Saccharomyces cerevisiae S288C: one gene and its partners. Changing the gene in region 1 together with any one later gene gives a genetic interaction. Each region holds a gene or a part of one and is shown in the gene's direction. Other genes may lie near its edges.

Region 1 (9,312 bases):
TGTCGAGGAAAAATAGACAATTACTTAAAGGAGTAAATGTTACTATACCTGAAAGAAATTAAGAGTCGCCATGCGTAGCAGTAATCACAACCGACATCGGGGAAGAGTGAGGGGAGCAAATTGGATGTAAATATTTTGGTGAATTTGCTCGGTACGCGCTAAACTCACATGATTTAGCAGCGCCGTGGCGCAGTGGAAGCGCGCAGGGCTCATAACCCTGATGTCCTCGGATCGAAACCGAGCGGCGCTAAATTTATTTTTTTCTTTTTACTCTTCATTTTTTTTCCAGGTCGGTGATAGTATATGAAATTCCGGTGGGATTGGGCTTATTATTTCAGGTTATATAATTTTTGAAATACGTTTTTCTTCTTTCTTCTCAGAATCATCGGTAATTTGTATGCTGGAGAAAGTAACAAATAGAGTCGATATCCTCAACTTCCCTGTAAGTCTTCACCTATAGAAACTGGTCGTAAAACAATGAGTCAGTTTGGCACGACAGATATCGTTTCCGGTTCAGAAACACCACCTTATTCTGGGGCAAGTTACCAGGACGCCCAGGATGACAATACCCATCCACATTCATCAGACGCCGGTGCAGAGAAGTTCAGTGCAGGCAGTGGAAGCGAGTCGCATACTGAATCCTCGAGAAGTGATGATGAGGATTCTCAAGCAAAAACAAAGATGGTGGATAATATTACCATCTTAAAATATATATTGGATTCTCTATCTGGTAGAGACAAATTAGCCAAAATTATCAAATACGCTCTGGATATATTAAAACTGTTTATCGAAAAGTCTAAGCGAAATTTAACTGTTTTGGACCCTTCCGTATTAACGTACTATACCAAGATTTTGAAAAATCTGACTGTAAAAGTCGCACTAAGGCATCCAATCACGGTAATTAAAGTACTTCTCCTGTCTCTTTTGAGAAATTTTGACAAGAAAATTGATTTTATCAGTCAACAATTAAGTACTTTTAGATATATTTTAAGGTTTGGCGGCACACCATTCCGAGTGTGCAGTTTCTTGGGGAAATTCAATAAAACCAGAAAGTGCAACTTTCAAATTGACCAAATTAAGAAAATATGGTTTAATGAAGCTTCATTGAGAGAATTTTTGGACTTGTATTATGGTATCTTTGATGAATTAGACTTGCTATACAAATTGAAAATATGGACAAATAAATCATTCTATTCCTTTGTCAGTAGACAAGAGTCTCTTGCATGGCAATACGACATTCTTTTAAGCTTGAAGGACCATTGGCTCAACCTGCAAAGCTTACAGAAGAGACAATTAGAATTGGAAGTGCAACTAAAAGTTCAAAATAACGCGTTACTACTCTCACCCATACTGATGCATCAGGCCCATAAAGACGATGGCTCACAATCGCCAATTAGGAAACAGTTGTTAAATGACCTAAATGTTAATAACGACGCAGAGGTGTTAATACACAAACAACTAAAGGCCATCAAGGATGAAAAGACACTTGTTTATTTAGATATTGCAAGATTATCGTTTGATTGCATGGCTAATACATCAGATATTCTAAATTTAAAAACTCCAAAGGGAACGTATGCCGTTCTGTCCCTGGGATCCGGCTTAACTGGACTGGTTAAACTTTGGATAACAACAAAGAGGTCACTTTGCTCTTCAAAAGATTGATATATAAAAATATGTATACATATAGATATGTACATATATATGTGGCGAATAATGTTTTACCTCTGCATTTGTATTGTTATTTGATTCGTTGAATAAGATAGTTTGGCGCTCGGTTTTTGCTCTTTTTCTTCCGTTTTTATGTCATTGGGGTGGCGGTAGTCATTCCGTTTTACGGTATGTTTATTCTGACACTTTGACGCAGATCTAAAAGGTGGAGTGTGGAGTACAAATAGCTCTCTCTCAAATACAGAAAAATACTTGAGTGTACAAAAGTAGCAACCTTTAAATAACAATGATTACTTCAATTGACATAGCAGATGTAACTTATTCTGCCAAACCAAGAATTTTGGTGCCTTATAAAACCCAATGGGAAGTCGCCAGTCATCTTCCTGAATATCGCAAACTGGCAGAAAGGGTAGAATTCTATAAATATGAGATGTCCACAAAGGATGATTTTGTTAAATTTTTGGAAACTCATAGAATAAACGGCTTTTGGCTCACTGAGGAGTTTTTCACTGTGTTAGGAAACCCTTCGAGTTATATTGAATTCTTCCCCGCATCTTTAAAAGTAATCCTTGTACCATGGGTCGGCTGTGACTTTATTGACGGTAAGTTATTAAGATCGAAAGGTATCACTTTATGCAACATTGGACCACATGCTGCTGACCATGTCACAGAATTGGCTATTTTCCTAGCAATTAGCTGCTTTAGAATGACTTCATTTTGGGAATATTGTTTTAAATACGTGGAAAATGGTAATGTTGAACAGTGTAAGAAATATATCTCTAGTGACTCGTATGAAATTGTTACAGATAGTTACCACGGTCAGGAAATGAAATTTCCCTCTCGAACAGACAAATGCAAGCCTAACAAGGATAGGAAAGTGGTACATTTAGCAGAAAAGTACACGGTTGGCGGGAAAAAAATGGAATCTCCAATGAATAAAAAAGTTCTAATATTGGGGTTTGGCTCCATCGGACAAAATATAGGGTCTAACTTGCACAAAGTGTTCAACATGAGCATTGAATACTACAAAAGGACCGGTCCCGTCCAAAAGAGTCTACTTGATTACAACGCTAAGTACCATTCTGATCTAGATGATCCAAATACTTGGAAGAATGCGGATTTGATCATTTTGGCCTTGCCCAGTACGGCCTCTACAAACAATATTATCAATCGTAAAAGTTTGGCCTGGTGTAAAGATGGTGTCAGGATAGTTAACGTTGGGAGAGGCACATGCATAGATGAAGATGTGCTACTAGACGCTCTTGAATCTGGAAAAGTGGCAAGCTGTGGTCTCGATGTGTTTAAAAATGAGGAAACACGCGTTAAGCAAGAGTTACTTCGCAGATGGGATGTTACAGCTTTGCCACATATCGGCAGCACAGTTGCCGACATGGTCATAAAGCAGACACTCATCACACTCGAGAATGTGCAGGACATATTTGTCGAGGGAGGTGATGGTAAGTATGTGCTCAACTGAACCATTCATTATGTTACAAAGATAGCATTTCAATTAGGATTACATACGTATATGCATTGCTCTTTATACCACAACTCTAAGAATGTCGAAAGTTATATGGCGGCGGTGATGTTGGAAAAAAAACGCGGCCGTTTTATAAAGAACAATAATCGTCTGACTAGGTAAAGTACCAGATAAGAACCGTTTTTATTGCGCGTATTGGTATGTTTTTTAAACGGAATTTTTCAAGATTGTTAAATACATCAACGATATATCCATTTTAATCACCGTTTACCTTTGTGTGTTAGCTTTGTATCTGGAAGTTTTTTCTCTTTTCTTCTTTGTCCTTGCCTTCTACCATTTTGCCTTTTGTTCGAGTTCGTGATTACATCAGGCATATACAACATCACGTTTGTTGAAACACTGGCTGCTAGGAGTATCTGTGTGTATATTCTAGAATAAACTCACACTCAACTAACAGCACGCAATGACAGATAATTTGACCACAACTCATGGTGGTAGTACCACCCTTGAATTGTTGGCGCAGTACAATGATCATAGATCCAAAAAGGACAAATCTATAGAACATATAGAAAAAGGAACATGTTCAGGAAAAGAAAGAAATCCGTCCTATGATGAAATTTTTACGGAAAACATTAAGCTAAAGCTACAAGTCCAAGAATATGAAACTGAAATTGAGAGTTTGGAAAAGGTTATTGATATGTTACAAAAAAACAGAGAAGCTTCCTTAGAAGTTGTGCTTGAGCAAGTTCAAAATGACTCAAGAGATTCATACGTTAACGATCAATCATTTGTGTTACCCCCAAGATCTGCTGAAAGGAAAGCGCATATCAAGAGTCTTAATTTGCCAATACCGACATTGTCCCCTCCATTGCAACAAGGTTCAGACGTTGCACTTGAAACAAGTGTAACGCCTACAGTACCTCAAATAGGTGTTACATCAAATACTTCAATAAGTAGGAAGCATTTACAGAACATGATACTAAACGATGAAATAGAAGCAAATAGTAGCTTCTCATCTCCCAAAATTATCAATAGATCTGTCTCAAGCCCTACAAAAATACATTCAGAACAGTTGGCTAGCCCAGCTGCCTCTGTTACCTATACGACGTCTAGGATAACCATAAAATCACCTAATAAAGGTTCGAAATCTCCATTGCAAGAACGTTTGCGTTCCCCTCAAAATCCTAACAGAATGACGGCTGTTATCAACAACCATTTGCATTCTCCATTAAAGGCCAGTACCTCTAATAATTTAGATGAGCTGACTGAAAGTAAAAGTCAACAACTAACTAATGACGCGATACAAAAAAATGACCGCGTTTATTCTTCTATAACATCCTCTGCATACACTACTGGAACTCCTACTTCAGCAGCCAAAAGTCCATCATCCCTTTTGGAAGTCAAGGAGGGTGAAAACAAGGCTTTGGGTTTCTCTCCAGCATCTAAAGAAAAACTTGACGACTTCACCCAATTACTTGACTCCTCATTTGGCGAAGAGGATCTAGTCAATACGGACAGTAAAGATCCTCTGTCCATAAAATCCACGATTAACGAATCTTTACCCCCACCTCCAGCGCCTCCAACTTTTTTCTCACCTACTTCTAGTGGAAATATAAAAAACTCTACTCCTTTATCAAGCCATTTGGCTTCTCCGGTTATCTTGAATAAAAAGGATGATAATTTTGGTGCTCAAAGTGCAAAAAATTTAAAGAAACCTGTGTTAACTTCATCACTCCCCAATCTTTCTACAAAATTGTCAACAACAAGTCAAAATGCTTCTCTTCCTCCAAATCCTCCCGTGGAAAGTTCATCAAAACAAAAACAACTTGGAGAAACGGCATCCATCCATTCAACCAATACCTTGAATACATTTAGCTCAACACCCCAAGGTTCGTTGAAGACACTTAGAAGACCTCATGCAAGTAGCGTGAGCACCGTGAAGTCTGTGGCCCAAAGTCTTAAGTCGGATATTCCATTATTCGTTCAACCGGAGGATTTTGGCACTATCCAGATTGAAGTACTGAGCACATTGTACAGGGATAATGAAGATGATTTATCCATTTTAATTGCAATCATAGACAGGAAATCCGGTAAGGAGATGTTTAAATTTTCAAAATCTATTCATAAAGTTCGCGAATTAGATGTATATATGAAATCACATGTTCCCGATTTACCATTGCCCACGTTACCTGATAGACAATTATTTCAGACTTTATCACCTACAAAAGTGGATACGCGAAAGAACATATTGAATCAGTATTATACAAGCATATTCAGTGTCCCTGAATTTCCCAAAAATGTTGGTTTAAAAATCGCCCAATTTATTAGTACAGATACAGTAATGACACCTCCAATGATGGATGATAATGTGAAAGACGGATCACTTTTGCTGAGAAGACCAAAGACTCTAACAGGTAATAGTACATGGAGAGTTCGGTACGGTATTTTGCGCGATGATGTTTTACAATTGTTTGACAAAAATCAGTTGACTGAAACTATTAAATTGAGACAATCTTCTATAGAACTTATACCCAATCTCCCTGAAGATAGATTTGGAACGAGAAATGGGTTTTTGATCACTGAGCATAAGAAAAGCGGACTGTCAACCTCAACAAAGTATTATATTTGTACTGAAACGTCGAAGGAACGTGAATTATGGCTTTCTGCGTTTAGTGATTACATTGATCCTTCACAAAGTTTATCGTTATCTAGCTCGAGGAATGCAAACGATACTGATTCTGCATCTCACTTGAGCGCAGGAACACACCATTCTAAATTTGGAAACGCAACTATCTCAGCAACCGATACTCCATCATATGTCACTGATTTGACCCAAGAATATAATAATAATAACAATATTAGTAATAGTAGCAATAACATTGCTAATAGCGATGGTATTGACTCAAACCCATCTTCTCACTCTAACTTCCTAGCAAGTTCAAGCGGGAATGCAGAGGAGGAGAAGGATAGTAGGAGAGCCAAAATGAGAAGTTTATTCCCTTTTAAAAAATTAACCGGCCCGGCGAGTGCAATGAACCATATAGGTATTACAATTTCAAATGATTCGGATTCTCCAACATCTCCTGACTCTATCATTAAGTCACCAAGCAAAAAATTAATGGAAGTATCCTCTTCGTCAAATTCTTCTACGGGTCCACATGTGTCCACTGCAATATTTGGCTCGTCACTAGAAACGTGTTTAAGATTGAGTTCGCATAAGTACCAAAACGTTTACGATTTACCGAGTGTAGTTTATCGTTGCTTAGAGTATCTTTACAAAAACCGTGGTATCCAGGAAGAAGGCATATTTAGACTAAGCGGGTCCAGTACAGTTATCAAAACTTTACAAGAAAGGTTTGATAAAGAGTACGATGTAGATTTATGTCGGTACAATGAAAGTATTGAAGCTAAAGATGATGAGGCATCTCCAAGTCTTTACATTGGTGTGAATACTGTAAGTGGGTTACTAAAGTTGTACTTGAGAAAGTTGCCCCATTTATTATTTGGTGACGAACAATTTTTGTCGTTTAAAAGAGTAGTTGATGAAAATCATAATAATCCTGTTCAAATATCATTGGGGTTTAAGGAACTTATTGAATCTGGCCTAGTTCCTCACGCTAACCTATCGTTGATGTATGCTCTTTTTGAACTGCTGGTAAGGATCAATGAGAATAGTAAGTTTAATAAGATGAATCTAAGAAATTTATGCATCGTGTTTTCCCCAACTCTAAATATTCCAATTAGTATGCTTCAACCATTCATCACTGACTTTGCGTGTATATTTCAGGGTGGTGAACCAGTTAAAGAAGAGGAAAGGGAGAAAGTAGATATACATATTCCTCAGGTTTGATGGTCTAAAATTGTAGAAATATAACGTTGCCAGTAAACCTCCATTGATTTAATGATAGAAAGAGGGCGAGATGTATAGAGGCTTCTTTCTTTCAACGATATATTTGTAATAATAAAAAAATGTCAGGCTGATAAAGCTTATAGAGTGACTGTCTTTTTATTCCTCAAATGTTATTTACAATACCATATAATAAAATTAGTATATTGTCAAATAAAATAAGAGAAAAAAACTAACTTCTTGACCAAATGGTCGAAGAGCTGAGATAAAGAAGGAAAAAAATTAAAATTACTAACTATACAAGGAAATATAAAAATAGAAAAATTGTGTTACTAAATACAAAAAAGTAATATATGCGTCACTTCTTTAGTGGGTTCAAGACAACATTATATATGCATTGGTATCACCATCTTCCACCACTTCTTGTTGTATGTTTTCTTGAAACATGAGAAATCATTGATATATCACTATCGTCATAAGTTGGTGTATTTGCGTTTTGAGGCTGTCTTATGCGATGCGGTTTCGTATTGGAGGGAATTTTATACATTCCATTACCTTGTAGACGGCGTTGGTGCGAGTTTTTCCAATTTTTTTCTTTTAGCTCATGGTCTGAATCTTCATCACCTTTTTTTTCAATTTCTAAGGTCTCCAAATGTCTAGAAATATCATCAATGGTAATATCCTCCACCGTGCGATTGAAAGTTTTGTTCAATTCTTCATCGTAAACGTATTCTTCATCTTCATCCTCACTGGAAAATTCTTGTTGCAAAAACGGAATTTGGGTTTCAGCTGCTCTATTATTTGACGAGAGCTGCTTGACCTTGGTATCGCTTCTAATTTCCCTTTGTTCCTGTTTTTCCGTGCTTCTCGGCTTGTTTTCATGAAGTTCTTTTTCTGGGGAAGCGTTGCTTCTATGAGATCTGATTATTCTTTGAGCAATTGTCGACGTGGATGCTGGTTCGACAGTAGCCTTTAGTAGAGAATTAGAAGGTGCGCTGTTAACTGCGTCTTTAAAAATGATATCATCGAATTCCGGTATCATTGCTCGTCCCAGCCTGATAACTTCTTCTGCCCATATTCTTATGACATCTTTTGCTCTTTTTGTCTTATAGGGTTTCCAAGCCGGTTTGCAACCACGAACAATCTCTTTAACGACTTGTTCAGACCCCCATTCTTTAACCCAATCTTGGTTTTGTAAACCGATCAAATGTGCGAAAACACCAGAACATATAGCTTTATCAGAATATCCACCCTCCATTAGAGACAAAACTTTGCCATGACAGTGCATTTGTGCTAATTTCAATGCATCTTTGGTGAACGTTGTATAAAAACTTGTAGGAACGTTGACACTATGCCTTTGCATTGAAGTTTGCTCAAATTCTGATGCATCGAAACCTGCGCTTATGACAACCAAACCTTTGAATGGTCTCCCTTGTTGATTCATTTCTAGTTTTGCGCTCCTGAAAAATTCATCTGCTTTAGCAAATAAAGTTCTATATTTTGTCCTGTATAATACATTGAATTCTTCTTCGGTTGTCCATTTGGATAAGTGAATATTCCAGATGTTTAGGTCATGAGAGTTCATGATACAGGTAGATGCATTTTTAATGTTCTCCTTTGTGGCAAATCCCGACTCTGTTGGAAATGAATTTATATCATGCATAGAAAAATAACCGACTTTGGGAAATTCGGCAAATTTCTTACCAAAATCATCATAAGATGAATCTTCAGGTTCCTCCTCAGGTTTGAAACCCGCACGTTTCCAGCAAATGTCTTGGGTCCCATCACCGTGGTGTAGATCGAAATCAAGCACGACAACATGCGTGACGTTGTAAGTATCATACGCATATTCTATGGCTACATGTGCATTGTTTAACAGACAAAAGCCGGATGGTGTACCATAGTGGCAATGATGACCAGGAGGCCGTATAGCAACAAAAGCTCTGTTACTAATATGTTCTGCAGATGGTCCTTTGAAAATTGAGTCAACACCAGTTTCAATGGCCCCAATTGTTCCCTGTAGAGCTTTAATTGTCTTTGAGCTCAAGTATATATCACCTGAGTTCCAAGTATCTGGGACTTCGATTTCGCCTTTTAGCAATTTAGCATCTGCCATTTGGCAAAGTTCAATTAACTCAGCCGGCCAGCTACTGCCATGAACTTTAAGCACATGAGGTGCCATCAATGAACCTTTCCTTTGATGCGAGGATTTCAAGGTGAAAAGGGATGGATACATTGTAATCGCAGCTGATATACCCATCGAGCTTGCTAATAATCTTTCTGGTCGTTCGACTATAGTTTTCCTATACGATTTTGT
Region 2 (3,743 bases), on another chromosome or scaffold:
GATGGTTAAGGCAGTTTACGACGAATTGCGGAGTCAAGTTTTAATATTTATAGATAGCCCTGTCACCAGTATCGGGTGTTGTTTCTACCCAAGCGCCTGCCAGCCTCAAACAATACAACAGGTATTGTTTTTGGACAGCGGAATGCTGCGATGCAACAGTATCGCAGCATGGTACTGCTTTCCTCTAGTCTTTTGTCGAATGTGAGCAAGCAGCAGCTGAGACTCTGCCCAACCATCGTTAGCCAATCAGCGTCGAGAACGGGTCCCATGCCCGGCCGCGGCCCGTTTCGAGAAGATTTTTAAGTGCGATCCATCCTCCCGATCTTTTTATCTACAAGAACCATCGCAAAGAACAGAGTGATCTGCAAGAAGAAGAACTACAAAGATCAAAAAGTCTCATCTCACCATGTCTGTGTCTGCTGCTCCTGCTATTCCACAGTACTCTGTCTCTGACTACATGAAATTCGCCCTAGCCGGCGCCATAGGGTGCGGGTCGACTCACTCCAGTATGGTCCCGATCGATGTCGTTAAGACGAGAATCCAACTGGAACCTACCGTGTACAACAAGGGTATGGTCGGCTCTTTCAAGCAAATCATCGCCGGAGAAGGTGCTGGTGCGTTGTTGACCGGGTTTGGTCCTACTTTGTTGGGTTACTCTATCCAAGGTGCCTTCAAGTTCGGTGGTTACGAAGTGTTCAAGAAGTTCTTCATTGACAACTTGGGTTACGATACCGCCTCTCGCTACAAGAACTCTGTTTACATGGGTTCTGCTGCCATGGCCGAATTCTTGGCAGACATTGCCTTGTGTCCCCTAGAAGCCACTAGAATCAGATTGGTCTCCCAACCACAGTTCGCTAATGGACTCGTCGGAGGGTTTTCCAGAATTTTGAAAGAAGAAGGTATCGGCTCTTTCTACAGTGGGTTCACTCCAATTTTGTTCAAGCAAATTCCTTACAACATTGCTAAATTCTTGGTCTTTGAACGTGCCTCCGAGTTCTACTACGGGTTCGCCGGTCCAAAAGAAAAATTGTCCTCTACTTCCACTACTTTGTTGAATTTGCTTTCCGGTTTGACTGCTGGTTTGGCCGCTGCCATTGTTTCCCAGCCAGCAGACACTCTGTTGTCCAAGGTCAACAAGACTAAGAAGGCTCCTGGCCAATCCACAGTCGGTTTGTTGGCTCAGTTGGCCAAACAGTTAGGATTTTTCGGTTCCTTTGCTGGGTTGCCTACTCGTTTGGTCATGGTTGGTACCTTGACCTCCTTGCAATTTGGTATTTATGGTTCTTTAAAGAGCACTTTGGGTTGCCCACCAACCATTGAAATTGGTGGTGGTGGTCATTAGAAATGGTCTTGATTGATACATGCATATATATTCTCTCCTCATCACCACCGGAGCCCCTTTTTTTTTTCATATTCTAAGAAAGAGTCAACAAAGGAAAGAAATAAATAAATCTGTTTAAATGTACTCTATTCAATCACTAGTATTCTTATTCCATGTATTTACTGACTTTGCAAAAGTCCAAATATCTGTAAATTAACATGCTATTATAAATATATATATATATATATATTTGAATTTTCTATTTTTTCATCTACAAAAGCAGGTTATAGCTCCGTTAAACCCTTTGCTCATTGAATTGTCCTTCACGGTTTTTTGGTGGAAAACACAACATGGAACATAACATTTAAACATCGTTCTCAATCCATTTCATCGCAGTAACATATTTGGTCGGGCACATACGGACACGTATATGTTATACAGATAAATATAGCTTAAATATGGCTATATTTACACAACACAATGCTCGTGGGTCGTTACCCGACCATGCAGGATCGCCAGTATTCTTTATTTTTCCGCCTTCTAACATAAAGAAAAATAAACAAAAAAGTATTTGATCGAAAAGTAAAATAGGTAGACACCACGTATTGGCGACCCGATCTGGAGCCGTTTAGAAAGTCAATCATCACAAGGCCTAAAGTTGCTAACCACCAGCCATGTCCGGAATAATTGACGCATCTTCTGCATTAAGAAAAAGAAAGCATTTGAAAAGAGGTATAACCTTCACTGTGATGATCGTGGGCCAGTCCGGATCTGGTAGATCGACTTTTATAAATACTTTGTGCGGTCAGCAAGTTGTAGACACTTCGACGACAATCTTGTTACCCACAGATACGTCCACAGAAATAGACTTACAATTGAGAGAGGAGACGGTCGAATTAGAAGATGATGAAGGTGTCAAGATTCAACTTAATATCATCGATACTCCGGGATTCGGTGATTCTCTCGACAATTCTCCATCTTTCGAAATCATTTCCGACTACATTCGCCACCAATATGATGAAATCTTATTGGAAGAAAGTCGTGTGAGAAGAAACCCAAGATTTAAGGACGGCAGAGTTCATTGTTGTCTTTACTTAATCAACCCAACTGGCCACGGTTTAAAAGAGATTGATGTGGAATTCATCAGACAGTTGGGATCCTTAGTTAACATCATCCCTGTGATCAGCAAATCAGATTCCTTGACAAGAGATGAACTGAAACTGAATAAAAAATTGATCATGGAGGATATCGACAGATGGAACTTGCCAATTTATAATTTCCCTTTCGATGAAGATGAAATATCAGACGAAGATTACGAAACCAATATGTACCTACGTACACTTCTACCTTTTGCTATTATTGGATCCAATGAAGTTTACGAAATGGGCGGCGATGTTGGGACAATTCGTGGCAGAAAGTATCCATGGGGCATACTGGACGTGGAAGATTCATCGATCTCTGATTTTGTTATCTTAAGGAATGCGTTATTGATCTCTCATTTACATGACTTGAAAAACTACACACATGAGATATTATATGAAAGATATAGAACCGAGGCATTATCAGGTGAATCTGTCGCGGCAGAATCCATACGTCCAAATCTGACAAAATTGAATGGTTCGTCGTCATCGTCCACCACAACAAGGAGAAACACAAATCCCTTCAAGCAAAGTAATAATATTAATAACGATGTTCTCAACCCAGCATCCGATATGCACGGGCAAAGCACTGGCGAAAATAACGAAACCTACATGACACGTGAGGAGCAAATACGGTTAGAAGAAGAGCGACTAAAGGCATTTGAGGAGAGAGTTCAGCAAGAACTGCTGTTGAAAAGACAAGAACTGTTGCAAAGAGAAAAGGAATTAAGAGAAATTGAAGCCAGGTTGGAAAAAGAGGCGAAAATCAAACAGGAAGAATGAGTCCGCTTTTGGCTTCCTCACTTATTTCTTCTTTCTCTATATATATAAAGAGTGAGTGTTGTATATAAGTAAATACATCTGGTATATTATTTTTTTTTTTTCTTCATTCTTAAAAAGTATTAATATCGATCAGCAAAAAAAAATTAACAAAAAAGTTCCTTATTATATCTGCGTAGAAGTACTTATTTCTGCTCCACCTTTGGAGTATTTTTCCAAAATTGTGATGCCAAATGAGTAATGAAATAGAATTTCTTGTGTGGATCGTCATTATCGATTTGGTTTGGACAGTTAAAGGAGAATTTTGGAAAGACCAGAACATCACTTAGCAATTTTGGTTGATTTAGGTTATGGAATAATTTCCATGTAACCTTCTCCCTGACACCACTTCTCATAAAGTCATTGAAATACGTGAAAATAGTGTCAGTCCACAACCCAGAACCCGTCCAACTCATAATATTCAGATCATTCCTTAGATTGACGTTTAGTTGGTCGTCCCTCTT
Region 3 (4,349 bases), on another chromosome or scaffold:
AGAAGATCGAAAAACCTCAGAATTGAATCGCAGGAAAATGCTAAGAAAACAGAAAATAAAAAGACAAGAAAAAGATTCGTCATCACCTATCATCAGCCAACGTGACAACCACGATGCCTATGAACACCATAACCAAGATTCCGATGGCGTCTCATTGGTCAATAGTGACAATTCCCTCTCTAACATTCCATTATTCTCTTCTACTTTTCATCGTAAGTCAGAGTCTTCCTTAGCTTCGACATCCGTTGCACCTTCTTCTTCCTCCGAATTTGAGGTAGAAAACGAAATCTTGGAGGAAAAAAATGGATTAGCAAGTAAAATCGCACAGGCCGTCTTAAACAAGAGAATTGGTGAAAATACTGCCAGGGAAGAGGAAGAGGAAGAAGAAGAGGAAGAAGAAGAAGAGGAAGAAGAAGAAGAAGGGAAAGAAGGAGATGCGTAGATGCCATTTACTGACGGTGAAGATACTAGAAACTAAATCTTTCGCCGTTCTATTTATGTAATAAACCCATTATTGCTCATTGGGAGTTGTAAATATTAATGCTCAATGTTTATGTATATCCCTCGCACAGGGGCTTTTTATTTCTTGAGGGGGGGACTAATTGTATAATTGTATGTTTTATAAAAAAGTATATTGCTCTTTTACGACTTTTGGTCTGGTCCCCTATGCTACTAATAACATTTTATTCTCTTCAAACTTCAACGTTCAACCTGCTTTGCCGAGACGGCGATTAGTATCCTACCCAACTGAACCTTTTCTTTTTGTTTCGCTTTTTGTTATACAATGCAATTTCGTCTCGCTGTAGTCTTTGGGTATGTCCTGTCAAATTCGTCACTACATTTTCAAAAGTTGTCTTATCCTTTAGGAGGTCTCGCTGTTGTTTCTTCAATGATCTTGATTTACTAACCAAAAAGTCAATGGATTGACACAATGTATCGTGGTATTGGCGTAAAGATTCTTCATCCATACTAGTAAAATCTGCCATAAGCAATTGCGGTATATGCTGCTCTTGCTCACGCTCCTCTTCCTTTTGAAGAGATTTTAAAGTCATTGGTGGTGTATAGTCAATTTTGAAATTATCCCTCAGGAAGAGACCAGTAGCCGTTTGCTCATTTTTCTCCACTGCATCGCATATCCTTTTGAACAACTCATCATTCAACGGTTCTTCCTCCCTCTTCGTACCAACACCCTCAGAGCCATTATTATCCGATAATCTCAAAATGTGGAGCAAGTTTCTGCGTATATGAGATTTATTCCATATGAATGGCTGTAACACAGGATCTAATTGTACGAGTTGTTCATAAATGACATGGGGTCGTTCATCTTCAATAAGTTTGCTCAGCTTGAAACAGTCATTCTTTATGGTTTCTTCTTCCAGGTCAAATTCTCCCTTTGGTAGTATCTTATTCAAGCAGTTATCTACTACAGATTCGGAAGACGTCGTTAAAGTAGAATTCTGGTTATAGAGGTCATTTTCAACTGAGGCATCTGAAAAATTCCCAAAATCATCACTAGAATCACTTTCTGCATCTAATGCATTTGTGACAGGTTCTATCTGATCTCTATCGCTCATTTGCTTGCTTTGAAAGAGGTGCCTTTTTCTATCTTGCTACACCTTAAATTCTCGTTTGTGATACGCCTAACGTTTTTTTTTTTTTTCAGTTTTGATAGCAATTCGCGAAACTTTTTGTAACATCTTCTCTTCTCGAAAAGCGAAAATAGTAAACAATAACTTAAAGCGTATTGGTATTAATATATTTAGTTGTAGTAAAATCATTTCACCAAACACACATACATGCGCTATTTGTATTGAGAAAATGAATTTTGATGCGGTAGCAGATCAACAGATGACTGACAGAAGGTATTTTGCTCTCGAAGTAGCAGAAAGCGATGATGCCGACAGCTCATTAAATTCTTCATCCATGGGAAGCCCCGCAGTGGATGTAGGAAGAAAAGTTTACAAAATCACTTCGCACAAGGGTTCAGCAGAAGATGAGAGTCAATCCTTTTTTACTTCTTCAGATTCTCCAACATCCAAAACAAGGCCTGTAGGTAAAACCATCGAAAACGATGATTACTATGGTAAAAGATCTTCTACAGGTTCATCGCTCAAACAACTCTTCAATAAAATTAATATTAATGATACCGCTCACTCTTCAAACAAAGAAAATGTATCTCAGTCGGTGCTATCGGAAAACAAGCTGCTCTCTCCATCTAAAAGGTTGTCGAAGCAAGGTCTTACAAAGGTGACTAACTCCAAGTTTCGTACACCCTTGAGACCTATTTCAAACCAATCGACTTTATCAAGGGATGAGCCTGTTAAAGATTTTAGATCACTTAAGTTTCGGAGCGGTAGTGATTTCAAATGCTGGGGTGACGAGAAGACAAGTTCTCATGTTCATTCATCCAGTGTGAACTCAGTTAATTCCTTTACTTCTACCACCTCTTCTTCAAAGTGGAAGTTCTGGAAAAATGATAACCTATTGTCGAGGTCGCTATCTTCCAGATCTGTGAATGACCAAGATCCGAACTTTGTTCAGCCAAAACCAACCAATTCGTTACAAAAGAAGTCTTCAATTTCAAGTTTTCACAATTCTATTTTTGGTGGTGGCAAACACACAGAGAAGAAGAGGAATTCTGGATTTATTATGCCCGATCATCAGAGCACGAAGGAGCTAAACCACAAACATTCATCATCGAACCTTTCCTTTAGAAGTTTGAAGCATAAAACATCACATTCTTCACTAAATAAGCTCAAAGTAAGGCGTAAAGGAAATACACAAGAACTGAATCATCCGATCAAAAAAACTTGCCAAATATCATTGCCTGTTCCAGACCAAGTCTCAAAGGACAAGATTCAACTGAAATTGAAAAATTCAACATCATTGGCATCCTTATCTTCAGAAGTCACTCCCATAAACACTTTGGACTACAATGATTCAATTTTGCAACAAATATTACAACTTTGTGATGTTAAGTATATATTACATGATCTACGTGAAGCTCAGTCATTAGGCTTGTTTACGTTGAATACTAGATCGGTTCAGCTGTCTCATAACTTTTGGCAAACTTATCATAGCGATATGCAAACTTCACTCATTTGCAAGAAAGTATGTCTAGGGGCTCTAAGTGATTTGACTACTTCAAACTTGATATCCTTACATGAATTGAAATCATTACGGTTAATACAAGGAACTAGCGGTGTCGCCAATTTACTGCAAGCTTATGTTGTGCCCTCAAATCAATGTGAAAATGACCAAAACTTGATACTGTACTTATTTTTCAAATACCAGGGAACTCCTCTATCAAGGTGCTCTAACATTGATTACTCTCAAGCATTGTCTATTTTCTGGCAGTGCAGCAGTATTTTATATGTTGCTGAATCCAAATTTCAGCTCGAACACAGGAATCTAACTTTGGACCATATTTTGATAGACTCTAAAGGGAATGTTACTTTAATTGATATGAAGTGCTGTCGTTTCTTGAATATAGACAACAATAAGGCTTCCTATACAAGATTAGACCATCATTATTTCTTCCAAGGCCGGGGGACTCTTCAATTCGAGATATATGAACTGATGAGAAGCATGCTGCCTCAGCCAATATCCTGGGCTACATTTGAACCAAGAACAAACCTATTATGGTTATATCACCTAAGTAGCAGCCTGCTAAAAATGGCCAAAAAAGCCGTAGTCAGCGGCGCTTTGAACCGGGAAGAAAATATCTTAATCGAGTTGACGCACTTACTCGATCCTGCTCGAAAACATTCCAAAACAATTTTCAAAAAGGAACTTGTTATAAGAACTTGCGGTGATTTGTTATCTTTGAAGGGAGAAATAATGCAGTAAAGACATCGTAGTAATAAGGTGCAAGCTTTTGTATCCTTCTTAATGATTTGTAAGCAAAAAAAAATTACGTACATCAATTTGTAATGGAAAGGAAATAAATAGTATAATATGAACACTCTTTCTGAGAACAGTTATCTTTAGCTTGCCCCACAAACTGAAAGCACATTTTTAAAATGTTTTACAGATGAAAATGAACCCTTGTACTGTTATCCTCTGTAAGTCGTTATTTTTCTTTTGCCTTTTTCAGGTTGACTGCTACTGTAATCGTAAGAATATTCAAAATCAATCATCTCGCATCGCAACAAAAATAAAACGAAGTTACTGGTTTAGGTGGCAGAAACATATAATATTGGCGAACATTCATAAAATAATTAAGGCTTACCAACGAAGCATAATAAAATTGCCAGTAACCAAAGGTCTCTGATAACATGAAAGTGGTAAAGTTTCCATGGTTGGCTCACCGTGAAGAATCGCGAAAATATGAAATATACACAGTCGAT

What was found. Genes that interact genetically often act in the same process or in processes that back each other up.
Region 2: mutations in BEM3 (region 1) and CDC11 together harm fitness more than expected from each alone (negative genetic interaction), as found in Saccharomyces cerevisiae (3 studies listed by BioGRID).
Region 3: mutations in BEM3 (region 1) and ALK2 together harm fitness more than expected from each alone (negative genetic interaction), as found in Saccharomyces cerevisiae (2 studies listed by BioGRID).

The regions. Positions count from the first base shown.
Region 1 is NC_001148.4:329,786-339,097, reverse strand, and holds BEM3 (GTPase-activating protein BEM3), read left to right. Parts: upstream 1-3,611; coding exon 3,612-6,998; downstream 6,999-9,312. Other genes in the region: PEX25 (Pex25p), read left to right, coding at 478-1,662; YPL113C (glyoxylate reductase), read left to right, coding at 1,955-3,145; HOS3 (histone deacetylase), read right to left, coding at 7,399-9,312. UniProt on the Saccharomyces cerevisiae protein: GTPase-activating protein (GAP) for CDC42 and less efficiently for RHO1. Negative regulator of the pheromone-response pathway through the STE20 protein kinase.
Region 2 is NC_001142.9:574,854-578,596, reverse strand, and holds CDC11 (septin CDC11), read left to right. Parts: upstream 1-1,995; coding exon 1,996-3,243; downstream 3,244-3,743. Other genes in the region: MIR1 (Mir1p), read left to right, coding at 407-1,342; HOC1 (alpha-1,6-mannosyltransferase), read right to left, coding at 3,426-3,743. UniProt on the Saccharomyces cerevisiae protein: Septins are GTPases involved in cytokinesis that assemble early in the cell cycle as a patch at the incipient bud site and form a ring approximate 15 minutes before bud emergence, which transforms into an hour-glass shaped collar of cortical filaments that spans both sides of the mother-bud neck.
Region 3 is NC_001134.8:205,376-209,724, forward strand, and holds ALK2 (protein kinase ALK2), read left to right. Parts: upstream 1-1,818; coding exon 1,819-3,849; downstream 3,850-4,349. Other genes in the region: bifunctional glycerol-3-phosphate/glycerone-phosphate O-acyltransferase SCT1, read left to right, coding at 1-442; LAA2 (Laa2p), read right to left, coding at 732-1,574; YBL008W-A (uncharacterized protein), read left to right, coding at 4,034-4,273; HIR1 (Hir1p), read left to right, coding at 4,278-4,349. UniProt on the Saccharomyces cerevisiae protein: Serine/threonine haspin-like protein kinase involved in cell cycle regulation.